Daphnia pulex: one gene and its partner. The protein of the gene in region 1 binds, or shares a complex with, the protein of each later gene. Links are inferred from orthologs where the notes say so. Each region holds a gene or a part of one and is shown on either strand. Other genes may lie near its edges. The genes, in order: structural maintenance of chromosomes protein 2-like and condensin complex subunit 3-like.

Region 1 (16,402 bases):
ACGTCAGATAAATATTTACTGAACTACTGACAGAAATGAGAAAACCGGAAGTAGAAAAAAAAAACAAATTATTAAAAATCTAACAAGTGAGCTTTGTTGCTGAAACAGAAACTGAAAGTTATCACCCAAAATTTTTTTAAGTAGCATTGAGAAAATTCTTCAGAGATGTGCAAAGTAAACGTAATTAAACTGAGTGGAAAATGATCAAAGGCTATGCCGTCTAGTGCCAGAAAAAAGAAACGTTTACGATAACATGAAAACAATGTCCGCTCTGGCTCGTTGACACTTAACTGAAAGAACTAACAAGAAAAGGCTTTGATACTCACGTAATATTCTCCCCTCCAAATTTGTATCTAGTCTTCACCAAAAAGCCACCACCGCAGCATCACAACAGACGAAATACCCAAGGTGATAAAAATGAGCGGAAGGCAGCATGACGTTCGCTGTTGTGTCTCTCGTCTGTCAGTGATTCCAGATTGTTGACGAAATATCGTCTTCTGCTACCTCTAGGTATCACCCTTTTAGCTTTATTCCTGTCATTCTGCACTGTGCCTTACCTGTGATAAATCCTTCTTTTTTTCTGTAAGTGTCGATGGCCATTGATAATTGGAGAGCAGCATAGGAATGTGACAGCTTTGTCTGGGCTAAATGCCCTACTACAGAATAGAATCCTCTTGGGAAACTTTGTCTGCTCCTAAATTGCATGATACACATCATAAGTTAAAGTTACTTCAAAAAATCAAAACAAATATTTAGATTAGGATTTTGAGGTAAGTTTAACCGTTGTTAATTAATAACATTTACCACATCATTTAGCTAATGGTTCTTATTGCATTCTTGACTTCATGTTTTCAGAAATTTCAGCTGATGTTTGAGCTAGGTGCTTGTGACAATATAGAGATCAAATGGTCCAATCCAATAACGTAAGCTATGTCTTCCAAAGCTAAATAGTTTCTACAGTCATTTAATGTTTACATAATATTTCAGGTTAACTTCCAGTGTTAAATCATAGTAAATCTTCAAGATATTGAAGACATCCCCAGATCCAATTCTCTGCTGCTATCATACCCATACTTTCTGTAAATAATTACATTTGATGTTGAAAAAGTATAGTCTGAAATAGCTAACTAAATCATTTGTATGTTGTGTCATAGGGAAAGCTGCTGGAGTAATCCATCCCCAATTGATTCATTTCGTGCCAGCTTGTGAAAGGCGTGAGGAATTCAAATTTAGCTGCTGCTTGCTGTCTGCAAGGAAGCAATCCAATTGGCTGTCGCTAGGTGGCTTGAGCGTCTTCGGCCATTTTGTTCCTTGACGAATGAGAAGTGGGATGCTGTCGTGACGTTTCCCATGATGAAAATGTAAAGGTATTTTTTGTTAATTTCTTAGGGTTACTTAATGTTAAATTTCGATGTGTAAATTGACAGGTGATTTAATACCACTTTGTTAAGCAATCTAACTCGGAAGCCTGTCCATTTTGCCGAAATGTCGTGCCTCGTGCGTCTTGCTGCCTGCACCCAGTCGTATGTCTCGTGCCATGCAAAAGCAAAAGTAATTATTTTTATCTAATTTCCTACTAAAGTACTTTGTTAATATGACTAGAGATCAATTTGCAATTTGATGCCAACTATGACTTCCTTTGTAAAATTTGAGATATCGGAGAGATCTGTTGGACTGCGTAGCTTTGTCTTACTCCTGGTATTCTTTTGCCATGAAGAGTCCTGTGTAATTGTGCACACACTGTCTTTCCCCGATGGTAATTTTTAAATTTTCTTGAACAGGTCCGCTGTTGGTTACCTTGTTGCAGCCAGGTGGTGAAAGATGTGATGGAGACTAATTGAACTGTTGTATGCAGCGTGTGGTTCCAGTGTTATCCAGAAGTAGCTGTGCTGGCGGTATCCTGAACTAGCCTGAAGTTGCCAGTGATATCTGGGTCGCTGACTTTAAATATTTTTTCTGTTTGCATTTGTGTATTTCTCTCTGCCAATGCTATCCTGTGTTTGAAATCTTTTCTCATTCGTGTTTTTTTGCTCTACCAGTGATTTCCTGTGTTGCAGTCTTGAAATGGTTCCATTGTCGTCTTTGGCGTTTTTATTGTGCAGTATACGATTGAGGCAACCTGATCTATGTCAGGTTTGACTCAGTCGACAACTGCTAGATTAAATTCCGGCTTTCTGCACCAACAAAATAATAACGGCACATGTTATTATCGCGGTTGGGAAAGTCACAGGCCCCCCCCTCCCTGGGGGCCATAAAATATACATGTGGTTATGTTTGTAAAAAATAAAATAATAAAATATATATTAAAAACAATTGTTCTTTTCTAAATAAAAAAACAAGGGATAATCGGACATCGCCAATTTTTATCGAAAAAGACTTAGTAAATAAATAATATGGTGGTTGTTTTTATAAAGCGGAAAAAAATAATAAAAATTTGGACAGGATATTTTATTGATTTATTTATAAATATTGCAATAACGTTTAATTATTGTATGCATGTCAAAAAGAACAAATATTGAATTTGATTTCATATTTTATTGTAAGCAGTATTATGGTCATATGTAGAGCAACGAGTTAAGATGGTTATATAAATGAGGTAGAGTTAATCGCGAATCATAAAGGAGAATTTCAGAATTACTTCGTGGTCAAACTAATCTTTCTCCAAAATTACATCAGATCATTTCATTGCTATTTCCCGTTCGACCGGACGAATAACCAACGGCGGAAACAGTTTACTTAGGGAAAAGGGAGAACATGCATGCATTTTTAATTTGTCTAAATCTAATAATGTATCAGTTTTCAATTTCTGCAACCTCATTTCAATTTCTGCAACCTCATCTCAGTTTCACCAATGGATCAAGTCGATGGAACGGCAGCGAACGATTAAACTGAACGAGAACGAAAAAATTTGTTTCAAGCCAATAATTAAATGAAATTACCCATAAAGCATTACCTTAAGGAGTGTACAGGTGGCAAGAGACGACGACACATCGACAAAAGGCAGCCGATAAAACATGCCCAACAGCCACCAGGCAACACCGACTATTTTGCACAACAGCTCAACAAAAAAACATCAACATGGGCAAATAACACATTGAAGTATGATGTTGGACTGAATGTCTGCACAAGCTCCATTTCAAGATATCTCAACTGAAAAATGACTGCAAAACCACTGCTCACACCATGAACACTGCATCAACACCATTAGCAGCTCCAACATCACTTTAACCAAGAAATCCTACAAATCAAAGGAAAACACCAATTACATTTTCAAATACAAGAAAGGGCAAATTTCTGTTTTATAAAAAAATACAGTTCTATTGAGCAAATCTTTTCACGAAAGCTCTTATATAGAAACACAATTTGTTGTAAAACGCCATCTAAATCAAGAATTCAATGTCTAACCCAATTTCTCACAAAAACACATGTGTAGCACATACTTTTCACGTAGACTCACATTTAGGCAAAATGCTAACCCACTCAAGTTTTCTAACAAGTTAAGTGAACGTCTGCAAAAGCTCTTGGCATAACTCAACTGGAAATTGAAACAATTTGAAAAACAAAACCCAATGAAGCTCAGACTTTACTACTGAACAGTTAATAGAATAGTAAAACTCAATTAGTACTTGAAACAAAGTCACAAAATTTTAATTCAGAAACAAAGTCTTGAATCAAAAAGTTAGGCAACATAATTACTAACATGACTACACAAAAAATTACATTTGATAAAATTAAAGAATAAAAGATGGAATTACCATGTCTGGGGTGAAAAATGTCATGTAAGAAAGTACCCAGCAAGGACAATATTCAACCTTCTCGGACAGCGTCTCGACAGCAAAAGAAATACTGCTTAGTAAGTCGTCTCAGCACTTTGACAGTTTGGTGACCCACCCCCCTACATCCCTCTGGAAACCCACACTAGAGTTGAATAGTTCAATCCCTAAACACACTGAAACATTTAGCCACCTAGTGACAGCCCTTAGCAACCACGGACGACTAGAGTCATGGACGGAAAAAAAAAAAAAAATAAACCAAATAATCAAATATTCGTCATCTCCGTGAAATACATTTAGTACATTTAAAAAAAAAGCAATTATCGAAAAATTAACAAGTGAGCTTTCTTGGTGGAATACTTATCGTCAGTATTACACAAGTATGTGTAATACACAAGTATTACTGTGTCGTGTCGTTTTTGTTAAGCTGATGTTTGTCAACATAAGAAAAAACTTCAATCGCTTTGCTTTTCTTGGGAAAGTGAACATGGAGATGCGAATTACTAATAGGCCTACAAGTAAAATTACTTAATTTACGCAAAATAAAGGAAAACTACGAATGATTGATTCATTTTTAGTAACTGACTGAATTATTATTTACCGAACGCATTACACTTAATAGGTTCACGCTTCAGAAAAGATGAAGTACGATTTACAAATGCTTTCTGATACATAATCGTCTACTTTCGTTTTTTAGGCCGAGTTTCCTCTTCCTCCGCTGGGCGGGCATGAGAGTTCGATTGTTGCTGAGCCAATCGACTGACCGTAGACATACCTTCAACAAATTTTGTGCGAAAAAGAACATTAGCATTGTTAAACATACCGTCTTTCAGAGATACAACGATGAATTGCGACTGCTTAAAATGTTGCTTTAACATCACCCCAATGTTCTGAGTGTGAGACAAATCCAAGGCTGCGTCTACTTCATCAAGAATATAGATAGGCGCTGGTTTGAATAATAGCATAGCCAAAATCAACGACAAAGCCACTAAGGATCTCTGACCGCCACTCAATTCCGATAAACTCTCTTTCCATACTCCGCCAAAAGCAACTTTGACTTCGAGACCGTCTAGCACTGTTTGACCGTCCGGTGGCTGCAGTTTTGCTTTGGTTCCGGGTAACAGGGTAGAGAAAATAGAACCAAAATCTTTTGTCACTTGTTCCCAAGCCACTTGAAGAGTTTCTTTCTTCTTTTCGTCCAGCTTCAGGATTGCGTTTTCAATTTTCGCCTTATCCTCTTCTACAATCCTCTTCTTCCGCATCAAGTCATTATACTGCGCCTCTGCTTGTGTCAACATAGTCATGGAACGAACGTTGACATGGCGACCAAGCTTTTTCATGGATTCCTCTAATTTATGAACGCGCTGTCCCAATTCTGCTCCATTAATGACGTTAAAATCATAATTAGACCCGGCTACTCCAAAATGGTGTCGATCTTCGTTTATCCAAGCATGTTTTTCGAGCATGGCGTCAACACGCTTTTCGGAATCTTTTGCGTCATCTTTTGCTTTGGAAAGCCGATGTTCCAATTTCTTCAAGTGCAGTTCACCTTCACTCACCTTTGCATTCAAAATAAAGAAATTAATTAGAATTATGAAGTATTGTAAATTGGGATTTAAAAAAAAAGCCAACCTGAGCTTCGCGCTGTTCTTTACCAGCAATTCGTTTGGAAATTTCTTGATTTTGAGCTGAAATTCGTGCCTTAAATTCGTCAATTTGTTTTCTGACTTCCTGTACATTAGCTTGTTCAACTGCCAGAGCTTCATTCAACACTTTCATTTCTTCATGTAAATTGGCTAGTGTTATCTCAGTCTCTAGATGAAGAACAAAAAATTTAATAAAAAGTGCAAAGATAATTTTGAAACATACAATTCAATAACAGAAACAGTATGTCGTTACCTTTTAATTGAATGTCAGTAGTTTCAATAGATTTTCGAAGTTCCTCCAACTCTAGTTTAAGCGAGTCAGCATCATTTGCATGTTCCTTCCATTTAGACTGTGAAGCAGCTGCCGCCTTCTTGCAACGATCCAATTCAGCTTGGGCTGCTTTTAACTGAGTTTCCCGAATCTTACCGGCATTCTTTAACTGATTCTCCAACTCCTTGATGCGCGATTTACCTTCTTTAATGATGTCGGTGCATTCGAGGGCCTTTTGCTCTGCTGATTCCAATTCCGACTTCATATTTTCGACTTCTTGAGTTTGGCGGTGGTGAAGCGTTTGCTGGAGCCTTTGCTGGAGCAATTCAAATTCGTGCTTTTTCACATCGTAACGCTGTTTCAGAGTGCGATACTGTGCTGAAGCCTGCTCCATAACTCGAAGTTCTTGTTCCGCTTCCTTTAGTTGACGATCTTTTGCCTCAAATTCGTTGCGGTACTGCTTGATTTCGTTAACTCTGAGAATAGCAGATTGGCCAGAAGCTCGACTGCCACCAGTTAAAGTACCACCAGGATCAACGACATCCCCCTCCAAAGTTACTGTTTTACGCATTATCTGATCGTGAAACGTAACTTGTCGAGCTTCGTCTAGACCCTTACAAACAAAGGAGCTGCCAAAAATGTACTTCATTGCCGGCGTCAAGTGGTTCTCAAACTCAATCAAAGATATTGCGGTATGGCAGTTTTCTTTACCAACGATTCTTTTGGCAGTTGCCGTAGTCCGTTCATCGATGGTTCTGCCTTCAATTTTGTTGAGAGGGATAAATGTGACACGTGACTGGAGCTTGCCTCTCTCAAGAAGCTTTTTTGCCGTGTTTTCGCTGTCGACTACTATGTTGTATAGCCGACCTCCAGCAGTAATATCTAGAGCAGTAGCGTAGGACATATCTGGAACTTCAAATAAACTGCACACCACACCTGTTCACGAAGAAAAAAAAGTTAAGAAAAGAAATATAAACAAAGTCACACTATAGAAATGCAACCTTTCACAGTAGATGCGTCGAATTGCCTTTCAGGAGGGGTGTACCGAAAGGCCATTTGAGGAAATCGAGCTTCGAATGATTCAATTTTCTCTCGCAGCGAATGCATTTCCGGTTTCAAGCTTCTTTGCAACTGCTCTAAATTAGTTACTTTCTCTTCATCATAGTGAACCTGCCCAAGTTCGGCTTCCAGTCTCTTAACTTCATTCTCGAGGTGCTTAGAGTTTTGTGCATCTTTTTTATAATCGACCTCCGACTTTTTCATCTCATTAATTTTAACTTTCAGCTCTTTTTTTAGATGTTGGGTTGTCATTTCCGAATGCTTCAACTGCGACTCGGCTTGAGCAACATTCTTTTGCGTGGCCATGAGTTCTTCAGGTAAAGTGGCCGCAGCACCATTGTCACTGGCCAACAAACCAGAACTGATTTCTTGGAAGCGCTTTTGGGCAGCTGTCAAAGCTTCACTATCCTGTTGTTCAGTTTGCCTTAATTTTTCAAATGTCTCGCCTAGTTTACTCTCTTCTACCTCCTTGCCTGTTCCGATGAATATAAATACGCTATAATACTGAAAATATATAAAATAAAAGTTAAAATTTTACCTTCTAAAGCAGCGGTGTCGTCGTCAAGACTTTTCTTCAGCTCTTTTTTCCTCTTTTCTTCAGCTTTAATATTTTCCTTGAGCACCTTAACAGCTGATTGGGCTTTCGATTCGGCTTTTTCTTGAACACGCAATTTTTCTTCAAGCTGTGTAAGTTCTTTGCCACCAACTTGGTCTCTCTGATGTTGAAGAGTATGAATTTCTTTTTCCAGTGCCTCAATTTCATTTTTGAGTTTTTCTTCAGTGGCACAATGATTTGTCTTTTCTTTTAAAATCTCATTGTATTCCTCCTTTACTTGGGCATTAGCTTTTTCAAGGCTGAGGAATCTATAAGCTACATATTGGCGGTTCAAGTGTTCTAATTCACGTTCGGACTTCTGAAACTGCAGGTACTGAGTTCGTTCTTCTCTCAGTTTGTTCAATGTTGGCGTAACTTCTTCTGAAAGGATGTCATTGATTTCTTTGATTTTTTCTTCCTTTTTCTCAATTGTTTTCAAAGCCTGTTGCTTTTTCGCTTCGTACATTCTGGTCCCTGCAGCTTCCTCAATCATGGCCAATATTTCAGGGGGTTTCATATTCAAAACCTGCAATGTGAAAACACATACTTATACACTGAAATGCAACCACAAATTGATGAATGAGTTAAGCACAATACTTTAGTAATTCTTCCTTGCATGATAAGGAAATGAGGATTGTTGACATTTAACTGCACAGAGCGGAAAAAATCTTGGACACGGTTGTTTTGAACATTTGATCCATTTATGAGATACTTGTTTTTTCCACCGATGACAACCTGAAAATATGGAAACATAGACTATATATCCTAGTCATAATGAAATCATAAATAACAATACCTGTCTAGTCACTGTAACTTCATCATAATGCTCATAGCCAATTGGACTTTGTTTTTTGTCTTTGTTATCAAAGGTGACTGTCACAGTGGCTTTCGTGACACCTGCTTGTCCACTTTTGTATACTAATTCTTGCAAATTTGTTGCTCTTACATGGCTCAAATTTGTGATGCCAAGAAGGAAACAGATAGCATCCAGAATGTTAGATTTACCACTACCATTTAGCCCTGTAATGGCATTAAACATTGGATCAAATCCATTGATTTCAGTTCTTTGGCCATAGGATTTGAAACCATCAACTACCATAGATTTGATGTACATTTTTTAAAACACAAAAATACTTGATCACGGCTTGCCAGCCACTCAACGTCTTTTCCCGCTGTTTTCTCCTTTTCCTTTCAACGGCTCAACGCATAACTTACGTAGGCTATGCTTTCAACCCTCAAATACTCTGGATTGGATTTTCAAAAAAAGAAGCCTTTTCCCACCACACTTGATGCGTATGTAAACGCACGATAATTTCGTAGCATGAAAAGTAGGATAAGTGGTAGAAAAGGGCGTTCAGGGGTGTTCAGAAGACAGAATTGACGTGTCACTGTTGGAAGATGAAGATAATTAAGAAATTTAGGGAATTTTTTTAAGTTTGTAAAAAAAAAGTGTGTTTGACCCGATTTTTTATCCGGGCCGTTTTACCCGGCCGGTAAAAATTTTTTGACCCATGGGTCGGCCCGGGCCGAACCCATTTACTCTGTTGGCCCAACCCGCGGAAGAAGAAAAACCCATCTAAAAAACCCATTTAAAAAAAAAAACCGCTAAAAAACGTCCGGGCCACAGCCCTAACAGCGAGTCAGCGACTGCCGACTCATGTCCACTGGTCCACTGACAGCCAGAGAAGCCAGCGGCCCCACCTGGCCCCACACTCAGAGCAGAGAGAGATAGTATGCTACGATGCTACATGCTACGATCGTGATGCTACTGTGGCTCTGGCCAGAGTACCAGAACCACAGAGCAACCAACGGCAACCAGAGGATGCCTAGAAACGAAGAACCCAACGACAAGAACCTAGAAATCGTTAGATTCTAAAACAGCGTCAGATTATGTCCTTTAAATGTTTAAAAAATTTAGTCAAAATTGCTCACTTGTAATTTTTTCCTTTTTTTTTAGCACGGAACATTGTCCCACTTGTATTGCAATTTTTTTTTGTTACGACCAGACACAACTGTACATATCTATTTACAAGAAAATTTCAGTTGTTATCTAAGAATAAATATAGCCCAAAGTGTTCAAAAATAATAAATAAAACTATTTGCTTCGGCTCGTGAAGGAGAAAGGGTGAGAATTAACAACAAGGAGCTGAGCAGAAAAAAAGGGCATACAGTATATCCTTGGGTCTTACGATCAGCACGATTGTGTTTACATGGAATCATGCAAATTTCTTTTTTAAACATAAATTCGATAGCAAACAGAATTGCAAACTTCTCTCTCACAGACAGACAGTCATGTTAAGTCATAGTCATATTATTTAGTACAGAAGGCAAACAAAAGGATAATCGATGTGAACCGAATGCCTCAAACCAAGGCGTAATTAACAATGTAACGAGGCAGGCACATTTCATCAGTGTACAAATGTCAGCACGATCCATCAAGCGTTGGGTGACAAATGTAAAAATCCAAAAGGCCAATTTGACAAACTTTGGGCTTTCCCAATCAACTGCTTGGACAACAGATGACTGGCGAGTCCCAAAAGAAAAGCACAACGCCCACAGACCAGAATTCTACCCCTTTGGAAGATCTCATGGAAATGGAATGATAGCAACCCACGGTGAATATAACGTAATGGCACATATTCTGAAGCGCAAAGATATGTTCATGGAAAACATACTGTACAATACAAACAAGGCACGTCTATGGGCTTCAGATTTCGGAACAAAATATAGTGGAATGGAGCAAGTACATCTGGGAAAGGGGGTGAGGTTTCGTTAAAGGGCTTTCAATCGTTGCATCAGTCTGTCTGCCTCTGATCCGTCATCAGCGGCAGCTAAGTATCCACCTCCGTTGTTGAGCTTCACCTCCCTCTCTCGGCCTCCACTCATTAGTAACTCGGCAGCCATGTCAAACTTGGGCGGTGGTCGCGCTTTTCTTGGGCGAGGCGCTTTCATGGCTAGCCCATCCGTCAAGTCATCCGTTATGGCAGGAACTGGAGGTCTTTCGTCACCGAATGTCCTGTTTTCATCAATACAAAATCAGAAACAATGCAATCGGAAAATGACTAACAATTTGTTCAATACCCTTTCATTTCCCGAGATGAAGGGGACTCTAGTAGCGCTCCTTTGGACCGACTGCGATTCATTTGTGCACGGCGCTCCGCTGCTCGAAGACAAAAACAATTTAAAAAAAAATCATCATTAGACGGTACAAACAAAAGGCACTTGTCGAAAGCCCATGCAAATAAAAATGGTTTGCAAGCCGATTACATCAAACGGATTAAAAAAAATAACGATGAGTTGTGGTGAATAAATAAATGAACACTGTGTCCGAAGCTGTTAACAAAGTTTAAAGGCAGCAACTTTTTGAACGCGTTATTTTTTTTTTCTCTTTTTAAATCAATGTTGGTATACCTTAAAAAAACTGTTTCGGGTAGTCAGCAGCAAAACTTAATAATAATTTAAAAAATCACACACACACACACACACACACACACGAAAAAAGTTATACCAAACACCGGCAAGTGGCGGGGGAGGGAAATAAAATCCAAAGCAATTCGGTTACGGCGTGCCATCATCTTGGAAGCGGTCATGTCATTTCAAATTTCCAACTTTTTTAGATTGCAGTAACTGAACTGGGGATCTCTTACCCGTTGTGAACTCGGTTGGATCGGTCTGCGCCGTTGCCAACAGGATTTGCAAAGGAGAGCAACGTACGAATTTTGGGGATATGGAAACGAAATGTTATGTTATACGCTTCAACTCACATTCTAGACAACCTTCTTCGCTCAATTCTACAACCGACTTAACGGACTGGTGTCTTTGGTACGTGCCAAATAATGAAACAAGTTCTACGATGTTTGTACGAGATGACAAAACGTGATGAACGATAATTAGTTAATTACCTCCGACTGCACGAGGGGGTCGATCCCGTTTCCGTCTCTGATCTCTGGAGAAAGCGGAACCCGTTTTCAGAGCCTCCAGCAGCGAGTCCATGACACCTTCCTGGTCGTCGTCAATATTCATGTCGACTAGCGCTTTCTTTTTGGCTTGGCGTTCGAGTTTTTCCCGCTCGGCTTTCTCCTTGGCTTCGCGCGCTCGTCGGATCTTTTCCTCCGTTTCACGCAGTTTGCAATTATCTTTATAGCATTGCTGGAGAAAAAGTTTCAAGGTTAACACGATACTTTATCCGGATGTTCCATCATCAAAAACAACAAACAGAAACTTACATTAAAGGAATCTTTGAAGGTTTTGACGTCGGTGAAGAATTCATCCAACGTGTACTTTTGCGGATCAAAGACAAAGTACTCGGACAATTCGTGGTAGACAGACTCCATTTTCTTGCCCATTCTGACGAGGACGTCGCACTGGTCCCGAGCTTCCCGGGCGAAATTGCCCATGACTTCCAAGAACTTGTCTTCGTCGGATATGGCCGCCTTGGCGTTCTTCAGATCAGTCTCCAAGTTCTTGATTGAACTGTCCATCTGCTTTAGTGTCTTCTGGATTGTATCCATCGAGACACGGGAAGCCCGATCCACATGGAGAACCTCTTCACTGAAGCTAAGGATGTCGGCAAACTTTTCTTCAATCACGTCCACCAAGTAGTGAAGCAACGTTGTTTTATTCTCGGCGTCTTTTGTGCTCGTCAACTAATTTAGAAACACAATCGAATCAGTTTTAAATGAACTGCTTTCATTTGTATGCTTGGTAATTTTTTTTTTAAATCTCACCTTGGGAAGGTAGGAAATTTCGAAACCGACTGCTTGAGCGTTCTTTGTTCCAGTATTCAGGTAATTACCTATTAGCAGAACAAGTTCCAAAAGTTTTGCAAATTTCTTGCTGTCCCGGATCTCCTCGCAAGCCAACGTAGCCGCAACAATATCCTAGCGAAGAAATACGACATGAAGGATAAACAGACCCAATTGTTTGTCATTTGCAATCAAAAACTCACTGGCTTAATGTCCTGGACCATTTCATTGTAGTGCTGTCTGAAGCTGATGGATTTAAGGCGCGGCACCAACCTCTTGATACTTGCCAACTGTCAGTCGGAGAAAGAAAAATAGACTTAAAAAAAAAAACACTTGGGAAAAGTTGGACTGAAGGCAGACGCCTTGGAGGACGATGGATTACCGTAACGGAAAACTGTTCAGCTTCGGCTAGACTATCGTATTGCTCCTTGTACTCTTCAAGCTTTTTCAGCTGTTCGGGTGTGGGCATGTACTGAATCAGTTGCTGCAAAACACTGTCCGATAGCACCGATTCGTCGCAGTGAAGAATCGCCCGTTTAATGTCATCGTAACTCAAGTACTTGAGAGATCCGCCCAAAAGAATCGACAAGTTCTGAGCTGACTTGCCGTCGAGCACTAAAACAAAAACATTCAAGCCTTTGGTGAGTATCTGATCATAGTCGGGACAATAAACATGAAACTCTGTCTGTCGAAATACCTTTTAGTTCTTTGAATTTTTTACTCATTGGTTTGTCCGAGTCTCCTTCTCTTGCTTTCTTGGCGGGAGGTTTGGAAGAGAATTTAGCGCTTAGCCCTTCCAGGAGATCGGGCGATACCAACCGATCCTCTTCAACATTGACCCAAAACGCCTTTTCGGAGAGTTTTTGCGGTTGAATCTGAGTACAAAAACATTCCAGTATGAGTTCATGCATATGAGTCACGATCTAAAGTTCCTGGTCAATCAACTATACCGTTTTCCAATTTGTTCGTTTTAGAGGCATGTCCAACTGCCATTTCCTCTTTGGTTTCATTCCAAACGGAAGAATATCCGGCCTGGGTGGCGTGGCGGGCATTCCAGGTGGAGGACCAAATCCTGGAATACCACCGGGTGGAGGTGGAGGTCTTGGTCCTCCTCCCATTCCGGGAGGAGGAGGGGGTGGTGGAGGCCCACCTATGCCGGGCAATGGGGGTGGAGGCGGGCAGCCGGGCATTGGGGGAGGAGGCGGGCAGCCGGGCATTGGGGGTGGAGGTGGTGCTCCAGGCATTGGGGGAGGAGGCGGGCCACCTGGTATTGGAGGAGGTGGAGGTCCAGCACCGCCGTACATGGCGAGAGGAGGTGGAGAGGGTCTAGGAACGGGTCCTTTGCCTCCTCCCAAATAACTCTCCAACTCCGCAATCCGTTGACTGGCAGCCGCCAACTTGGCTTCGTATTCCTGCTTCGCCGTGAGGGCTTCCTCCAGCTTTTTGTTGACTTCATCCACCCTGGGCTCTCCATCCTTGGCAGCGCGCTCTAGAAATGATGAATTAGCACTCGACTTTCGAAACACACATTTGTCAAAAGTTAATCCGCACCAGAAAGGATGTCGATCAGCGGTTCGACGTCAATTTGAAATCGCTTGGTGGCGGAGAAATCCGGATCGCATCCGCTTTTATGTAAAACGACTTGAGCAATACACTCTTCGATCAGTTTGTAGTACGAAACCCTGCAGAATGGCAAAAGAGAAACGGCAAAAATAAAACACGCGATCTAATTCTGTCGGCGGGTGACAAGTGAAACTGACTTGACATTGGGGTCGTCTCGAATGAAAAGTAAATGTTGTAGAATGGACAGCAGGAACGGCTCGCTTGGCGTTTCGGCGACCGAGTTGCGCAGCACTTCGAAACATTCCTAAAGAATGAATTTAAAACAAAAGTTATGATTCGCATTTCCAGATCCTTTTCTAGCGTTGAAAATATTTCTGACCACAGTGTCGTCGAGATCCAGGCGTAGGTTGTCAAAACGCTGTGCAAATTCATAGAAATCCTCATCTCGATGCTCTTCGAACACTTTGAGTTGCAACTGCAGGTCAACGCAGTCCCTCTGGGCTAATTTCTATTAAAGCCGGATGTAAGAAAAGATTATAATTATGATTTATTCATGAATAAATTAAGAAAATAATGATTTTTTTTTGCCACTGGGCGGTGCGGTGGTTGAAAGGTTTCCTTACGTCAAGGAGGTCGGCGAGTCCGACACGCATAAATTCATTACGTAAATGCAGCCGGAAGTCCAAATCATCGGGGGTGAGGACGATAGTGTTGATCAATTGGACGCAGGCCACCTTTGAAAAATATTTAGATTTTGATCAATTGAGATATGAACGATGTGAAAGTGTGGAAGGAGTGCGTGAGTGATAGCATTGAGTCACGGTGGATTGATAATCAAGGTTGGGTTTCCGGCCCGTTTGGCTCACCGTAAGCGTGTCATTCTCCATGTTGGACAGGGCTTCGATAATGGGCTGAAAGCGAAAAATGCTCTTGAGTTCGCCACTGGTGGTAATGGCCTCTAAAGCACGCTCGTGTCCCTCCGGCGGCACCAAGCAGATACCGGCCATCAGTTTGACGGCCTCGACCATCACGGCCGGCAGGGACGGGACGAAAGAACGTGCAAGAAGCGTCAGCGCCTCGCGGTGCTCAAACAGTTTCTTCAAGCCAACTTTGTTGTTGGAAATGGCTTTCAGGCAGCGGATGCACTCGTGCTGGACCCTGTCCCATCTCGCGTCCCTGTATAATCATATCACGAGTTGAGAAACATTTCCATACGGGGCGAGAGATAAACAGCCGGTCGCTGAATGCAAAGCGCCTACGCTCTACCTTCTATAGCATTCGTTGAGGATGGTCAAAACTTGATTCAAACCCTCGCAGACAAAGTCGTGGACCCAGGTGAGCGGGTTGTTGGTCAGGGCGATCCTCAGCGACTCCATGCACGTGTAAATCTTGTGGACGCTCAGGTCCGGATTGCCCAGATAGACGATGTAATCCTGCGGCGTATCGAATCGATTCCGGTGTTTCTGCACGGACATTTGAGCAAGAAAGAAATTGAAAATGAGGATATCGATTGTTGTTGTGATTGGAAAAGAATGTGTCGAATGACTAGGTAAGAAAAAAACTCAAAATTGTTACCTGGACTGTGCCCTTCATGTGCATGGCCAACATTTCTTTTTTGCGATGGTTTTGCTGCAATCGCAGCGGTTCTTTCTTTTCTTCTGATAAGTTCATGTCATCCTTCAGACAGCCAGGCAACACAAAGAAAAGATAAAAACAAAAAAAAACAAAAAAAACATCCATAATTAGAGATGACGGAGATAACATAAAGAGATGAATCATATAACTTAGATAAAAACCGGGCGGCACCAGAAAGGAGGTTATGAATTTCTGGTTCAACACGGTACTACTTTTATGTTTTTTACGCTGTTGTATTTGTTTAAAATTCAGGACGTACCAACATCTTTTCAAAGGCGGTGTTAACTTCGTCTTCGCTCATATTGTCGACGGCCATGTGCGCGTTTTCGTCCATCTCGGAGAAGTCGACCTCAGAGTGCGGACGTGAGAGTGTGCCAGGGGCGCCACTCATCTGTCCCCGTCCCGACTTCTTGTTCCAGCCGAAGCCCATTTTGTCCAGCTGAAAGTAAAGTACAAAACCAAAAATAGTCAATCAGTCATTACGCAATACAGAATCAGAATGAGGCCACGGGCTTTTTTATTACGTCAAAACAACACCAAAAACGAGTGTACGACAAGTAGTGCATTTTTCAAAGGAAGAAAACCCCCAGCCAAACCGCTAAAAAGGAAATCAAATCAAATCAAGCAATCCACATCAAAAGCCGGTCTCGCCCTTTCCCTTTCTCCGCGAGCGATCAAAGAACAACGGGCGAGTATAAAGATTGTTTTTGGTTTTGTTTTCTTTGCTGGCATGACCATGGGGTTCGTGCCGTCGCTTTAATTAGAGATCGGACAGCAGCAGCAACGGCCCCAGAGTCTGAAAAAAAGAGAGAGAGGCGGGAGAAGGGCAAAAGGAGGTCAAAACAATGTCCTGAACAACAGACTGGCCACATATTTGGCATCGTTTTATGTGTGTAGTACACCCCGACGAATAGAAAAGAAAGAAAAAAGTCAAAATTCCCGCATACATAAGAGGGCAGATGTAAGAGTCAGATTGGGACTGAAAAATATGTCGAATCTACGAGCTGGGCCAATTGGTTGATGGTGGGATGTGTTTTCTTTTTTGCGAAAAAAAGAAGAAGAAGTCGGCCACGAATTTCCTCCTCTTGTTGTTGTTCGCATCGTCATTTTCCGAG
Region 2 (16,421 bases), on another chromosome or scaffold:
GTTGGTTTTGTGTCACTTTTGGCTTCCTCTGTGCTGCTGACCTCTTCCTTCTCATCTTCCTTCTCCTCTGCCTTCTCGTCTTCCTTCACCTCAGAATCTTCATTTTCTGTTGAGCTGTCGTTGACTGTCTTCTTTGGGGGTCTGCCTCTGCGACCTAAAAGAGGAAAATGAAAAGGATCAGTACTTTTGTACAACTCGGCAAATCAATTCTGCCACTCACCGGTACCGGGTGTAGCTTTAGGAGTCTTCTTGGGAGTCTTTTTCTCCTTTTTGGCTGGGGGTGGGGACGCAACAGCAGCTGGCCTCGCACCAGATCTCGTTCTCCTCCTGCCTTGGTCTTCACCATCTTCTTTGTATCCCATCTCCTACACATAACATTTCATCAAAAATTAGAAACGGACAACAATCAACATGTGCAAGTGGGTACCTTGAGCAGAGCTTCTCCTTCTTGAGTTGTTCGTTCCAGGGCAGTTAATTTCTTCCCCAAACCTTTTTTTCCTTTGGCTTCAGCAGCATCATGCTTAAGAAAAGATCAAATAACACAAGAATAAATTCCCATGTTCAACTACGCGTGGCGTCGCAACTGGTCGCAAAAATAATTTCCCGCCAAAAGTCTGTTCGAACGTCAATGGATGCTGGCAACCGACGCCACACATATCTAATAAACAAACTCCCCACTTTGAAAAGAAAACAAAGCGTGCACTTGGAATTTCTTTGAAAACATTTGAAAATCCAAACAAGAAAAGCATTTTTCAACCGAAACTCGAAGTAAACGTTGATAATCGGATTACAGATGTCATAAACGATAGAGAAACAAAATCCCCCAAAAGGCCCAAGGCATAATGTATGGTCGTCAACGGCTTTCTCCACCCCAGAGACCCAGGGCAGCATCTCAATCTTAGGCCTATTTCCGATTCATTTGCCACACGAAATTTCAATTCCCTCATTTTTCATACCTGGTTGTTTTCACTCACGACTTCGGCCACTTCACTCGACATGTTGATTATTAATCCAACCGATTTCAGACGAATATTTCAAAGTGAGAAAGTGAGAAATCCAAGCCAATACCGGCGAACACGGGGTAGTAAACAAGACACACCAGAGAGGACGCTTTTGATGCTAAGCTTGCATGGTCACGTGATTAACGCCATCTTTGACAACAATGCCAGATCGCTATAATTGGTTTTGTTTTTGGAAGAAATTCACGAAATTTCAAATAATCAACAGCTATTTTTTTGCCACGAATGATCGAGTATATTTTCAGTCATTCTACGTTTGTTTGGTCAAAGTAATATCCAGAAAACGAAATTTTCTGTCAATATATAGGGAAATTTTAATAATGGCATAACAAAACAAATAAATAGAAGGTTTGTCAGGATCAGAATAAGATATAATAAACACTGACGCGCAGAGGAACAAAATCAAAGTGAGTATGAAGGTTTTTAAAAAAAGCCATTTGTTCGCTTTTTAAGTAGGTGGGTTTTTTTTGCGCATACATTTTTTCGTTTCTTTTTTAATACTCTTTTCACTTTTTTTTTTTTTTGTATTTGTTGAATGTTCACAATTTCATGTCGATCAAATTGGCCGCCGTATCAATTGAGCTTCTTCCGGCACCGACGGCAGAAGCGCTGCCTCCGGCCAGTGGAGAAGTTCGACTCCGGACGCAACGGTAGACGTAAGCTGAGATGGATACATCGTCGCCCGCACGCAAGCAACGCTCTTGCGGTCGGTTGCACGTGCAGCTATTTAATTTTAAAAAATGTTTCCACATGAAAAATTGGCCAATCAAAGTTAACAAATAAAAATAGAACCTTACATGTTTCGGACGAAATAGTCCATCTGGCGTGTATTTGAATTGTATACTCCCCAACTGAAGGCCAACCAATTCGAAATTAAATCACGAATTTCTCAATAGGGAATATTAAATGTTCTGACTTACCCGCAGGGAGTGTGGAGTCCGCATAGCGTTGCTTGGCCGTTGTTGCCACTCTGCCTCTATTTAGAGAGTAAGAAAAACAATTATTTCCCAATTTATGGCTAATATAGTCTACGATTGATTGTAATATAGAAACCGTTAGTTACAACCTTGGCGACACTCATGGGTCGAGCAGAGTGGATGATAAGCAGCAAACTAAAGAGAGCCAATCGAAATGCAGCACTCATGTTGTTTGATTTTTGATCCGTTCGTCCAAAGTTCTTGTTCAAACGAAATACAAAGGGAGCTATCGTGTAGCCTCTAATATATCTTGCTCAATTGCTGCTGGGTAGATTCTGAATAGACGAAGACGATGCGTGCTGGTACTCGACTGAACCAAAGAGTTCGACTGAATGGAATCGCTACGACTGGAAACGTTCCCTTTTATATGCTCGTGGCCGGTGGCACCACCACTCTCGTCTGGCCATGCTATACGTTATTTCCCAATTCCCAGGCACCCACGCACCCAGATAAATACTACAGGTATCAAAATGCTATACCAAAGCCTCTCTCTTTTCACATTATATACCTTTTTTCCTTCACGGTCAAAGAGTACGTAAATAAGCGCTACTCGGCGGTATTTGGAAAGTCGAAAAGTATAGAATATGATGACATACTGGACAACACTTGCTGGATAGCCTAAATTTTGAGATATATTCCTTAACTTATAAGTCTAAACACATTCTCTATTGTGATTGCTTGATCTTCTTATCCCGAAGAAGATTTTTTGGAAATACTTCGTCTCATTTGACCTCAGCACACCGACAGCCTTACAAAAAAAAACCTTTGGCTGCCGCTTCCGGTGGTCATTAGCTGGAAAAGTTCTTTTTCCCCCCTACTAATCCCCCTTCTTTTAATAATGGTCATAAGCGAAATGATTTATGTTTGTATTAACATTCTAGTAAAAAGAAGACATTTTCCCTATATGCGTCGTCTTTTATATAAGTTAAATCCTTAACTGCGCCGTGGAAAAAAGAAACGTCAAGCCAACAGCAGTTGGTAGGATTAAATAGGGGAAAGATATGGCTGACGCAATCACATCACGAGTAGCCGTAAGCCTATTTTCAAATGTTCTTCAACCCAAAACTGGAAATTCAAGAATATAAGGGGCAAACAGTAAAAATAATAGGTCCTATATATTCTTTTATCGTGTCTCCGTTTTAGATAAGTAATACAAATTACTAGAATAATAAAAACCCGTTTTTATATAATGCATGGTTCGACTAGTTGATGAATGGCTACCAAAGATCGGACCATTTTTTTAAAAGAGGCAATCAAAAATCCAGACTGGATTTCCGCTTTGTGCATAGTTACTGAGAATAAATAGAAATAGAATTTTATGTTGAACCAAATCTAAAAACTGGACTGACGTCATCATCAACTCCGCATCATTTTTCCTGAAATAATCCTTTTAGGATTTGTGTTGTTGATTCGCAGCTCCATTCATCCGATTGAAAACGAATCCAGAGTAATGGATTGCGAGGGTGTTTGTCTTTACCGCCGACACCATCATCAATAAATGCCCACTGTAGTTGTAAAAGTTAACCTTAATCGAATATCCAGCTGATTACACCCGGAGGGGCCTATATAAAACAGAGTATAGAGGGAGGGATTAAGCTGCCATCGGTTATATGTAATGCGCAGTGACTGAATTGTGCTGTAGAGGCTCAGCAAAACAAAGTTATAATTCTTATTGAATGTCACAATGGCCGCCCGCACACGTGTAAGTTTGTTAAGAAAGGAACTATAGATGAGAATATCTATTCAAATGGATAGTAGAAACGTCATTTCCCGCCCAATCCAATTATGGGTCAAGATCAGGCCCTTTTCCATAGGTCAAAATAGATGCGTAGTAGTATACTATGGCGGTTTCGGTTATCAAGCTGATGCGTAAGCAATTTCAATTCGGGGGCTGTTACTCAACAACCAAATGTTACTACGTATATAATCGAATATCTATTTCAAAATAGTATCATCGCAGAGCGCATCCGTTGCCATTGATAGTATGTGTGTGCCGATAAAAGTCATCAGTCCTTGATGGATTGGGGTTTTGATGGATTGGATGGATCGTCCTGACAGCAGCGGGGGATTGTTGCTATCTCGACAAACTCGCATAGGTTTCGTTTTCAATTAAGTAATGAAAGAAGCTGTTGACGAGTTGAAAAAAGAAATTATTCCATGTACTATAAGGCTTCTTCGAACGTCAATGTACTTGTTTCTCGGGAATCACTACAACGGCGTCGAACCATTCAATCAGTCGCTACACCAAACTAAACTAAAAATAAGATTCATCACCAATCAGATAGATATACAGTTACCTGTATTACTTACAGTATCATGAATGAGATCTGCCGTGAATGATCTAAGATCTTCAACTGATGATTTCTTTGAATCACGCGCACCGTCTTACGCGCCATCTGTTAATCCGTAATGTGACTGGTGGTGACATTCGAGTTGAACTGTCAAAATAATAATAAAAATAATAAAAAAAGTACAAAAATTGAGACAACCGGTGTCGCCTTGACCGGCTTGAAAGCCAACATTTCCAACGGGAAAGTTTGCATACGTGGCGAAAATTTCCTAGAAAATAATACCGAAATAATTGCAAATATCAATTCGACACGCTATTATTATTATTATTATCCCTCTCGCACGCACTCCATTTGAACAATAACACGACACATGTGTTATTGTTCATAGAAATATTTCACATCCTGGGTTGAGACTAGTACATCCTGTGGGCTGGGTTTCACATCCTGTGACTGGCCGGATCTTTGATTGGGTCTACTGTCAAACATTCAAATCATTTTTCAGAAATATTAGTTCTTTTTTTTTAACGGAAAATTGAAAAAAAGAAAGAGCCTCATGAACAATTCAAATGTCATCACCCGGGAAGAGGAGCTTTAGCCTCATTGTGAAAAAGTTATTTTAGTCCTTTTTATTATCTGGAAATTTTTTTTTCTATCAACTTTAACCACGAGTCCACGAGACCCCGACATGTGATTAAGAATTCTATATGCAATCCAACTACGCTGTGTGGTTATAAATGTGGTCGAGATAGGACACGTGAAAGCAATCAATGTTTATATTGACTGATGCGCAATAGATTTCTTTTACCTTTCTCCACCCTTTACTTTGAAATCATTCAATCAATAGAATTTATGTATTTTTTTAGGGTAGGTAGAGCCTGAAATATTTCCTGAAATTCCATTAAGCCATAAGTGATTCCAGGGAAGCCATCCGAAAGATGGAAATTCTCCAGAAGTTTGGACAAATCTGGAAATAGGCGATTCAAAGTCAAAAACGTTGAAATAGGTTGGATAATCAGATCTTATGAAACAGGACACAGTATCAGATTTTATGAGTGTGTAATTCAATGCTGCAGACTTGGAAGAGATTTTTTTCTGCCCGAGGGCTCTTGTTTGATCGATCTGAAAAGCCGATAAACAAACAAGCGTGTTTGTGGGAATTGCGTCGTTGGGTTTTCCATCACGCGGCGCTAGGTGGCTCTGTCGTAGCTTAGATACCCAATAGCGAACGAGCCATTGGTTCGCCGTCCCCTACCCCCATTTCCCTTACCTATCCCAGTCAGATCAGCAGCAGGCCAGCAGCTGAAAACGAACTCGTGTTGGATTTTGTTTTATTCTTCCGTCATCTTTAGAGCAAACTACACTTATGTTTACAATTCGGCCAATCCGGTTGGTCTTGGTAAACATTTAACTATACAAAAATATTACTTTCATCTTAATTGATGTGCAATTGCATTACGTGTTATGTCGAATGCAGATACATTCATCCATCTCTTCGCTGGCGGGTAAGATTTTTTTCGTTTTCTTCGTTTCGGTTCATTTTTCGTCTTCTTCCCCCCACTAGGCAGAAACCATTTTGGCCATTACGCCGAACACACCGACATCCCTTCCTTTAGTCTTAGTCAGAAGGGAGGTAGGGATTAAAATTTTCAAACTACATACTACATTATGTTGCCTTGGGTTTTAACTTGGGTGAGGGAGATGGTTTTCATTTAACCTATAAAACCTATCTTACCTGCATCAGTTATCTTGCCCAGTGTACCCTTCTCGTTATCTTCCATTTCAGTTTCCCTCCTAAGTTGGTCCACTCCACAACTAGAATTTAAGCAGTGAGGGATGTTTGTGCATTCCAAAATAATGGCTTTCTTCTGAGCCAGATGTTGTAATTTGAATCCTAGTGTGTTTGCCATCGAACTCTAAAATATACGTACTTCAGTTTTCAAATCCTTGCAGCAACTTTTCCCTTTGAAAGTTGCAGGCTACTAAACCATTCCAAAGACAAGTTGGCATTTGTTTGAAGTTAGTATTTTAAGAGGCGACATTTTTGGCTAGCCCAACGCACTCGTTGACCCATTCTCGTTGCTAGGACTCAATTTTTTAATGTTTCTTTTCTGTGACGACGTAGGGTTGGTGGTACTGTGGGAGCCATAGTGACGTGCCCACTTGAAGTTATCAAGACTCGCCTGCAATCGTCTTCCTCTGAAATCCACTACAGTGCAGTTCGCTCCCTGCGAACAGCTTCGTCCAACGCAGGATGCAGCGCCAATCACATGTATTTCACTCCAGAAATGAACTGGAACGTTTATTATCATCACCAACAATGCTCGTCCGTCAATTCGAGGTTGGCTGTGTTTCCTGAAGCCGTCCTCCCTTGGCCGGCGTCTTCCGCCCAACCCAAAGGAGCCCTTTCTTGTTTTCGGTAAGAAAAGGGAATTCTATGAAACAAACGGAATATTTAATCCTTTAATTGACTTGTTTGTTTGCTCTACATATATACATTTAAACGATAATAAAAACTAGAACTATAAAAAGGAGATAAGGTGTGGATTTCGATAAGAACAACGGTTAATTGATCAAATTCTTTGCCTTCTCACGTAGGCACCTGATCGACCAAGAAGGATGCCGGGCGCTATTCAAAGGTTTGGGACCAAACCTGATTGGAGTGGCCCCCACTAGAGCCCTATATTTTTGCACCTATTCAACGGCCAAACGAAAATTCAACCAGATCATGACTCCAGATTCTCACTTGGTCCATATGCTCTCGGCTGGCTCTGCAGGTAAATATGTCCCTCACGTCTAGTTGCGCAAAATTTCTCTTTTCTGTCCAGTCGAGGCCGGTTTTTCGCCCATATCGCTTTAGTTAGACATAGAAGGACGTCCTTGTATTAGTTGTTCTCTTCCCTTTTAGTTGTCACTTTTTAACGCAATAACCAACTTGGCATTTAGCCCAAAATTCACTTCTTGCTGGCAGTCGGGAGGGGGGTTAAAACTTGCTTTAAAATGACGTTGCACAAATTATATATTCCTTTTAAAAAGAATGCATGGAAGAGAAGACAAAGTCATTAGGAAGAATGTATTAGCTGATTCACCCTGGGTTTTCTATGTGAAAATAATTGAATTAATTTCGTATGCGGGTCAGCATCAAAGGGTGAAAAAACCAGACTTGTCCGGTTGGTTGGCTCAGCCGTCTTTTTTTCTCTCTCCACTTACCTACGTGATTCACGTAACGAATGCCCAGTTGCCGTTTCTCTCTCTCCCCCCTCCTTGGAAGAATGGTCTGGTGTATTTTTAAAAACGGAACACGTGCACAAGCCGTGCTCCTGCCCAAGGTTCGCCCAGACTTTGAATAAGTTAACAAAATCCACTCCGGGCGGGAAGGAGGGCATTATTACGTAGTCTACCTATAGAGCCCGTTTCTAACATTCGCGGATATGGCGCATTTTCCCGTTTCGTCCTTGGGACGGTTAAGGAACTCGTTGTGGCCTACGTAGTACGTCATTCGCAAATTGAACAGATCCATAAATTAATCGTTTTTTATTAACTTCTTCCTGTTTCCACAGGATTTGTGTCGTGCACTTTAACCAATCCAATTTGGTTCGTCAAGACACGTCTGCAGCTCAATCGCAATCAAAACGTCACAGCTTGGCAGTGCATTTCCAACATCTATCGTAGTCAGGTAATTTGGAAACCAATTCGTCGTGACGTTACGTAACAGGCTCAGCCAGCGCCACCAATCTAATTTTGGAATTCTTTTTTCTTTAGGGTGTTGTTGGCTTTTACAGAGGAATAACAGCCTCATATTTCGGTATCTCAGAGACCATAATTAAGTTTGTACTTTACGAGTACCTGAAATCGACCCTGCAACAGATGCGGGAAACGCAGACGGACAGTCCACTGGGCAACTACCAAGCCATGGACTACATGCTAGCAGGAGCCATCAGCAAGACGGTGGCTTGTTGTGTGTCCTATCCGCATGAAGTGGTTAGGACCAGGCTGCGTGAAGAGAATTCACGTTACAGGGGATTTTTTCAAACGTTGCACACAGTCTTCCGCGAAGAGGGACATCGAGGGCTCTATCGTGGACTGTCGACGCAGTTGATCCGGCAAATTCCCAACACGGCCATTATGATGACCACATACGAGGCCACAGTTTACGTGCTCAACAGGTAAAAATAATAATTAGAATAATCATAATATTCTTAATAACTAACCGGTTTTCGATTTTAGTTTGGTAAACGAAAAGCGGTACACTGGTTCGGAATAATGAACTGCCGTCGCTGTTTTCAAAAGTCTTCATTCATGTAATCTCCCACCCAAACCCCTTTTTCTTAATCAGCTTTGTCTTTCGCGCAAAATATCGAATTGTGATAGTTATTCTGACTATTTAGATTGTGCCTTTTTTTTTAACTTAAGAAAAAAGAAAAAAAAACGTGTATAGAGCTTGTACAGTATGACTAGTCACTCGTTATTCACTAGTTATTTTGCGCAATCGAATTCATTTGTTAAAGTGTATAAAAGGGTGCTTCCAGCACACACTTGGAGTAATTCTTAATAAAGTTGTCTTACAAAATCGATATGTGTTTTATACCTTTTTATTTGATAACAAAATCCACCTAAATTACATTCACAGTCACCAATTTAACGTGTCGACAACATGGATTGCAGACTAAATATCAGGCTTGATGATTTTCTACCAAAGCTTCTCTCTATTGACAAGACAATTTAAATGCCACCTCCTTTGGCGTCCTTGAGACCGAGAATATTTCGCTTGTAAAACGTATTCATCTGTTCGAGGAAAATAAAGGTGAGAACTGTGTGCGGTCCGATGCGTGCGTAGTACGGCGTGAATCCCTTCCACAAAGCTAGGATTCCTTCGTTGCGTACGACGCGACCCAGTACATCGACTGCGCCCTTGTATTCTGGCTTGCCGTCAATGAACCTCATATTTTGCAGCCTGAATCAATGCCAAAAATGTTATTTTCTCTTATCTTTCGATACTAATCGATGATAATACGACGTAGTTACCTAGTTTTTGCAATGTCGACAGGCATAGAAGCGGCTGTCGTAACTAGACCACTGATCATGGAAGCCCAGAAGTGAAGAATCACGTTTTCACTAAAATAACCTAGAGAAAAAGAGCCGTTTAGTTTTTGCGCTATAAATGTGGGCGTTAAAGACTAGACTGACCAGTTGACATGAGAGATTGTTTAGCTTGAGAATAGGAAGCAAGTTGGGCGGCATTTACCACCATTGCCCGAGCCATCGTTGGGATCGCTCCTACGATCAATTCAAAGGAGATTTAAAAGGAAATTCAAAAAGGAAGAGAAATTTCCAAGGAAATTTCCAAAGGAAATTGCAAAAACCTCTCCAGAGAGTGACCAATCCTTCCTCCCTGACCATCCGAACCAACGCGTCACCGACGTGCTTGTAATTCCTTCTGTCTGCCTCTGGCAGTCTTCCATCTGCTGTCATACGAATAAGGGCAACCTATAATAAGTAATGAATACCGGTAACTTTTTGTTACCATGTGCCCTTTTTCACTAAAATTACCTCAGCTGGGGTTCCCACAAATGCTCCTACAACTCCAGCAGCCATTCCAAGCACAGCTTTTGTTGCAAAACCTGGTGGTTTTCCATCAGGACTAGAAATAAAAAAACAATATAGATGTATTGAACTATAACATTTGTCAAGGTCACAGTCCTACTAACCCACTCATGGTGTCAAACAGCCATGTGTAAATTCCCAGCCTAGTTGTTGTATAGGTTGCCTGTCTCAGAAGGCCTGCAGATAAACCAGAATACATGCCAGAGATACCCTCTTTCATCATGATGGATCTAATTGCGTGCAAAGTGTTCCTGTGTTCTTTGGCTTTGCCACCTTCACCGCTCAACTGCATTCTGTTCTTAATAAGATCCATAGGTTGGACAAACAATGTGGCAGCCATTCTAAAATTGACAAAATCCTTGTTAATAAAACTTATATATAAATAAAGTAAGACTGTAACAACTTACCCTGACAAACCTCCAATAGCAAACCTAACTGGTTTTGGCATTTGAGCTTCACCCATTTTAAATCTAATGGGATATACTTGTTTAAAACTTAAACAAACCCTCAGGAATGACGAATAAACTATTTAAACACGTACTCCAGTCTGCTCTCAAAACAAGACACCGGAGACCGTAGCCTACAGAGACAGACGAGTGATCTGTGATCAAAAATCCAGAAGCGATCGTTGATCAAGACATCTACCGGCATATCACAGTATGATATTTGAATTTCACAATGTCACACAATGTCACAAATGAGTTATTTTTCTAGTGAAACATTCTGGAATTGCTCAAGTGACCGAAATTTATTTGTATTAATATCTCTTACAGGAAAGTAAGTAAAATTGTAAAGGAGAAAAAAAAAGATGATAGAAAAATGAAGAAAAAAAAATTTGTTTTATCAACGCTTCCTGGTTGATCTTGCCGACTTTTTAGTATTTTTATTTGGAGGTGGGGTCGGAGGTATAACATCTTCATCCTCGTCGGAACTAGAAATCACGGCTGGTCTCGTCGTTCGTGTTCTGCGCAGAGGTGGGGAAGGAGTTGTTTGTTCCCCACCGTCCTCGTCGACACTGGAAACCACAACTGATCTCGTTGATCGTATTCTACGCCGAGGTGGGGAAGGAGGTGTTCGGTCCCCATCGTCAACGGGAACACTGTCCTCGTCGACACTGGAAACAACGACTGATCTAGTCGATCGTGTTCTACGACGAGGTAAGGAAGGAGGAGGTGTTGTTCGTTCCTCAGCGACAACGGAAACGCTGCGTGGAGCCTGTCGTCGAGTTCTTGAAGGTACAGTTTTCTCGCTGTTTGTGGTCGAACTAAACGAACGAAAATTTGATGAAAATAACACGTAGAAAGCGAAATTAAATATGTAATCACCTTAAATCCATTTGTTCAATAACAACCTCATCCATTTGTTCAATAACAACCTCGGGTGATTTTTCACGAGGTTTTTCCTTTTGAGTGCTTGTCTTTTCTGGGCTGAAGAAAACATCGGAACTTTGGGAGACATCGACGTCGCTACTAGTATCCATTAAAAGAGTCGCTGCATGTTTACTTCCTAATTTTCTTGTTCTTGGCTTATTGATGGGAGGAGATGGGGGAGCAATAACAGGTTCAACTTCCATATCGGAATCGTTTTCAGTAGCAGACTTGGCCGAGTCCGCATTAGCCGTCAAATGCTTTTCTACGATAGATTCAAATTGCTCAATCATTCTGATGGAACCCTTCTCTCTGAAATTTCGAAGCATTTTCCGGATAAGAGTGTGCAAGTCTTTAGTGTTTGACGGATTGGAGAACGACATGTTCAACTGCAACAAGGCCTTGAGGTAGACTTTACTTTCGTTCGTATCAGGAGATCGCATCGATTCAGTACAAAGTTTCATAGCGAGTTGATCGTGGATGGTGTGATCGACCTCAGGCTTGGCGGCTAATAAACTTTCCTAAATAGCAAATATAACAAAATTAGGTTACTTGTAATTAAGATATTTGTAATTCATGTTAAGGCTTGTAACATTAAGTTACCTGTGTCAAGTCGACAAAGAATTTGACGATCATGGAAATGTCTATCTCCGCCAAAGGAGAAGTACACGGGGCCTTTTGAATGGTCTTGATAGTCGGTACGAAAGCCGCCTCCAATTGCTGTTGGTTTGCAATATCCATGGAAGCAAAGAAAGGAAAAAAGACGTGGAGGACTTGACGCAGACGAACGTTTTCATCCGTCAGCGGGTGGAACAGGAAAATGACCAAGCGCGAAAGAATCATGGACGATTCAATTCTACATGTCACATTTAAGTTATTAATACAACGAAAAGGAAAAATTTTACTGACATTTCAAAAATACATACCGGGAAGCAATCAATAGTTTAGCGAAACCCTCGACAGCAATTGTTTGAACATCTGCATCTTCACTATCCAACAGATCAGTCAGCACTGTAGCTAGAGATGTACCACTCTCTTGGTCCTCAAAAGTCTGAAATGAATCATGTATGATTTAAGTTTCTTGATGAATAAAATAAGAGTAATGCATGACTCACGGAAAGACCAAATAATTGAACGAGATCAAAGAGAACTTTGGCTGTTGTGATCTGAAGGATTTGGTGATCCATCTGAACTGCTTGTACAAACAAGAGCAAACGTTGTTGGGCCAGTTCCAAGTCGCAAGTACACAGGCAACCCAAAGCTTCGAAAGCGGCATTTCGGACAGCTGGATCGATTCTCTCGACGCAAGGCAAGATCAGAGACATTAAAAGTTGGTCCAATTCTTTCGTCAATTTAAGCATCTAATAAAAAAGAATCATTACTAACCAGCAATGTTACTGATTTTTAAAAATAAGAATGAAATATACCGGCGAATTTTTTAGCAGCTCGCAAACGGTGCTGAGACACTTTAGTAGTGTTAAGGGATCATCTCTCTCTTCGCGGAACACTTCAACGTCATGAGTGGTGGGCCGACTGCACAACTCGCTTAGTTTCGTCTCCAAAACGACCATCTTTTGTTGAATCTCTTGGGCACCAAGAAAGTTTTGTTTGTCAATGGCCTCCTGCAATTCTTCCTTTAATTCGTTCACCTGGACTCGGCATTGAGCAATCTATTCAGAAATAATAATGAATCAAAAAATGAATTTCTTTTGGATCCAATAAGCCAGTTCACCTCTAATTTGTTTCTTCGCTGCTGATCTTCTGGAATGAGTACTTCCGCCTGAGTTAGTGGCTCTCGCAGCTCTGAAATGACCTCAAGCAATTTGGCGATGCGAACATCCAAATTGGGCTCAATCAGACTAATACACTTGACCATGGTACGAGTCAATGCTGGGCTAGTCTTTTCGTGTTGTAAAAGATCGCAGAGATCGCGTCGCAAGTTCAAGCGACCCGCTTCATCCGCAAGGTCAAAGTGTTGTGCCATCTCCAATAAGTTGGCAACGATAAATTCCATACTCAATACCTAATGGCATACATAATGACATGTTTTAACGAAAGAATACAATTTTAGGAAATACAATGTTTTTACCTCCATGTCGTCGGTTTCGGTAAGCCTTGCCAAAACGAAAATTTTCAAATATTTCCCAAACGCTGTCATTTCTGGCATAATGGTTTCAAGAGCATCTGCTGCATGAACTCCCTCGTTTCGCAGGAAAGAAACGGCCGTGCACCAATAAAGAGCCACTTCTGGCTTTAACGCTTCGATACTAACCAGATTTTCTTCACCAATAGGCAACTGAGATGTTATCTCCTTGTAGTTGAGCGTTTTCAACCAAACTTGCAAGACTTGAACAGCAGTATCGCTGCAGCCTTCCACATCAAGACCACGCAGGAAATTGAAGATGGAGCCTTCCATGGCGTTGATCCAGGCAGGGATAAGTTTGTCCTGCACCATGGTCGTCACAGCAGCTGATTTGTCGTTGAGTCCGAGGTTCAAAATTGTCACACGATTGGCAATTGATAATGTTCGGACATGAACTCTAAAAATGAAAATAAATGAAGATAAAAATAGACAGCATGCAATTATTGTTTATTCTTCCACATACCTCTCACTAATGAAGATATAGGCCTGCCTGCGAACAAGGTCTTTGACGTCACGCAGCCTGACCAAAACGAATTCGAGCGTAAAATAATTGCATCCAAGTGCCTTAAGTACAGCTCGACGTACTTCGGGATGAGGATCTCTTTCCAAATGGAAAACTAATGCCTGTACAAGGGTGAAACATTTTTTAAATACAGAAAAGTAAAAACATTTTTAACGCCAAGTTACCTTAATAACTGGACATTCTTTGTTGGTAGGATCTTGCAGGCGCTGTAAGGCAATGACAGCCTGGACCCGAACTGAGGCAATTCTGTCTTGAATTCTTTCAAGCATGGCATCATAAATTTTTTCAAAAAGTTCTGCGCTGATGCAAGCAGACTCATTCAACTCTTCTAGCATTCTATTAATGAACTGGCACACTCTAAATCGAACAGCCTGGCTCTTGACATTGTGATGGGACAAAAGAAAATCAAAAAGTTTTTCATAGAAAGGGTGGCATTCACCATCTTCATCTTCTGGATCTTTTTCCAGTTCAAACGATGTTGCAAATTTGGCTGCAAAATCTAAACAAAAGTTAACAGCAGTCTCCCTTTCTCCATGAATCAAGAGACACTTGAAGCATTTAATAAAATGTTGATTAAAAGAATCTACATCTTCAATTTGGTCATAGACTTTTCTAAGGTTCTTTACTAGTTTGGGGTGATCAGCAATGGAATGTTGGCTTTTGGTAAATATCTCTTCAATGTGTTTGTTGCCTACCATTTTACTCAGCCTGCCTTGGGCTTACAATATTTGTACCAAGTTCAAAACTGATGTCAGGAAGCGGATCTTTCCAATATTGGTAAGTATTGAAACTATTAGCGATCTCTTCTTTGCCCTTATCTGTTTCTGTTTCAATGCGAGGTTCCTTGCTGGGAGGTATCGTGCACTTGTCAACCTCCGATTTCCGCTTCGACAAATTTTCTTTCAATTCCAATGATTTTGTAGAAAGCATTGGGAAAATTATAGAGCAATTCAAAAATCAGTCTTCTAATTATCTGAAATCACAAAATTTTCTGAAAATAACGAGAGTACGACGTTTCTCAACGGCCGCTTAAACTTTTTTGAAGCGGAGAGACGATGCGACGTTGACGAGTAAGACGAAATAAAACAAGGTGACAGGTTTTTTTTTAATATCAGAGCTATAGATACCTGGTCAGTTCATGGCTGTGTTGGCTTCCCTATCCCGGTTTCAGGGTAAACGTAAGCCGATTGGGAAAAATGGATGAGCGCCTCTAGTGAGTGTGTCAGCTACTACGTGAAGCCAGCCAATCAGGAAGGGTCTATGAAAAACTCATTGGCCAATCACAGCTTACTTTTCTACAAGAAGTGAAAAACAATAATAAAAGGTTTTCCATAATAAAAAGGTAGAAATATCCAACTGTCAAACCTCTAAGTTTCAAGCCGTATTCGATTTTGAATAGCCGGTTGTTTTCGCACAATCCTAAATTAATTTGCCGTAATTTATAAAATGTTGTACTATTTTCAATGAATGTTTTTACTTTCCAACTATTAGGCTCGTAACTTCAGCACCAGTTCATCATCCCAGCAGTTGGTGAAGGTAAATCATGTGAGTGTGGTACAGGTACATTTTAACCTAATTGTGTAATTGTTATAGGCTCCAGTCCAAGTTTTTGGGTTGTATGGTCGCTATGCCTCAGCACTCTACTCTGCTGCTTCCAAACAGAAATCTTTGGACAAAGTTGAAAGCGAGTTGAAGGACTTTCATGCAACTATCGCCAAAGATTCTCGTTTGGCAGAATTCATTGCCAACCCCACTTTGAAGAGATCACTTAAGAAAGATGCTCTTATTTCAGTTGCCAAGAAATTGAAAATGAGTGCTGTTACAGGCAACTTCCTTGGTAAGTTTTTATTTTCTATTGGTTTTCACTTTATTCTAATTGTTATTCATATGGCTATGATTACAGAACTCCTTGCTGAGAATGGAAGACTTAACAAATTGGATGTTGTCACTGGCCATTTCTTTAACATGATGGCTGCATTCAGAGGTTAAGTTGTATGTGAGGTCACCTCAGCCAAGGTAAAATATAAATCTAAAAAAAATTAAACAATTACATGTTTAAAAAAATCTATTCTTATATCAAGGCCTTGGATGCTGCTACATTGAAAGAGGTTACTGCCGCTCTTTCTGGATTCTTGCAGAAGCCAGAAAGGACAGTCTCAAGATTTCAACCAAGGTGGATCCCTCCATTGTTGGTGGACTTGTAGTTGTCCTTGGAGATCGCTACATCGACATGAGTTTGGCATCAAAGATTGAACGTTACACCACTCTCCTTAAACAACCCGTCTAGAAATTTAAGTTGGCTGCGTTATAGTGGGAAACAAATATGTACATCAAATGGCAAAGATATGATGTAGTGGATATGAAAAATAAAAGAAATCGTATCACGAGGTTCTCCTTGTATGCAAACAAAATTGTCATTGTTATTTCAAACACCACATTCAGCTAAAGACAATAATTTGTGCACATTATATCTGGTTGAAACATTTGTCTCTTCTTGGTC

What was found.
Region 2: structural maintenance of chromosomes protein 2-like (region 1) and condensin complex subunit 3-like share a complex: the UniProt entries of both Homo sapiens proteins name them as parts of the condensin complex. The link is inferred for Daphnia pulex from reciprocal best matches to the Homo sapiens genes SMC2 and NCAPG.

What each region holds. Positions count from the first base shown.
Region 1 is NC_060019.1:8,739,719-8,756,120, reverse strand, and holds structural maintenance of chromosomes protein 2-like, read right to left. Parts: upstream 8,573-16,402; 5' UTR 8,459-8,572; coding exon 8,141-8,458; intron 8,080-8,140; coding exon 7,942-8,079; intron 7,871-7,941; coding exon 7,288-7,870; intron 7,223-7,287; coding exon 6,692-7,222; intron 6,627-6,691; coding exon 5,673-6,626; intron 5,588-5,672; coding exon 5,406-5,587; intron 5,333-5,405; coding exon 4,454-5,332; 3' UTR 3,792-4,453; exon of another isoform or gene 3,721-3,791; intron 3,239-3,720; 3' UTR 2,954-3,238; intron 2,889-2,953; 3' UTR 2,516-2,888; downstream 1-2,515. Other genes in the region: protein diaphanous-like, read right to left, coding at 10,117-10,360, 10,426-10,504, 11,247-11,493, 11,571-11,990, 12,072-12,224, 12,293-12,379, 12,472-12,704, 12,787-12,964 and 9 more. UniProt on the Homo sapiens protein: Central component of the condensin complex, a complex required for conversion of interphase chromatin into mitotic-like condense chromosomes.
Region 2 is NC_060020.1:456,373-472,793, reverse strand, and holds condensin complex subunit 3-like, read right to left. Parts: upstream 15,114-16,421; 5' UTR 14,620-15,113; coding exon 14,086-14,619; intron 14,023-14,085; coding exon 13,862-14,022; intron 13,796-13,861; coding exon 13,345-13,795; intron 13,279-13,344; coding exon 12,988-13,278; intron 12,926-12,987; coding exon 12,683-12,925; intron 12,617-12,682; coding exon 12,371-12,616; intron 12,307-12,370; coding exon 12,182-12,306; intron 12,112-12,181; coding exon 11,859-12,111; intron 11,777-11,858; coding exon 11,214-11,776; intron 11,158-11,213; coding exon of another isoform or gene 11,153-11,157; coding exon 10,732-11,152; 3' UTR 10,618-10,731; downstream 1-10,617. Other genes in the region: protein PXR1-like, read right to left, coding at 1-154, 221-365, 428-520, 957-998; uncharacterized protein LOC124192580, read right to left, coding at 1,559-1,742, 1,817-1,870, 1,940-1,995, 2,086-2,163; solute carrier family 25 member 36-A-like, read left to right, coding at 5,749-5,789, 6,410-6,703, 6,883-7,061, 7,845-7,960, 8,047-8,450, 8,512-8,548; mitochondrial 2-oxoglutarate/malate carrier protein-like, read right to left, coding at 9,007-9,238, 9,310-9,409, 9,472-9,561, 9,648-9,771, 9,835-9,925, 9,993-10,229, 10,296-10,351; uncharacterized protein LOC124193140, read right to left, coding at 16,347-16,421. UniProt on the Homo sapiens protein: Regulatory subunit of the condensin complex, a complex required for conversion of interphase chromatin into mitotic-like condense chromosomes.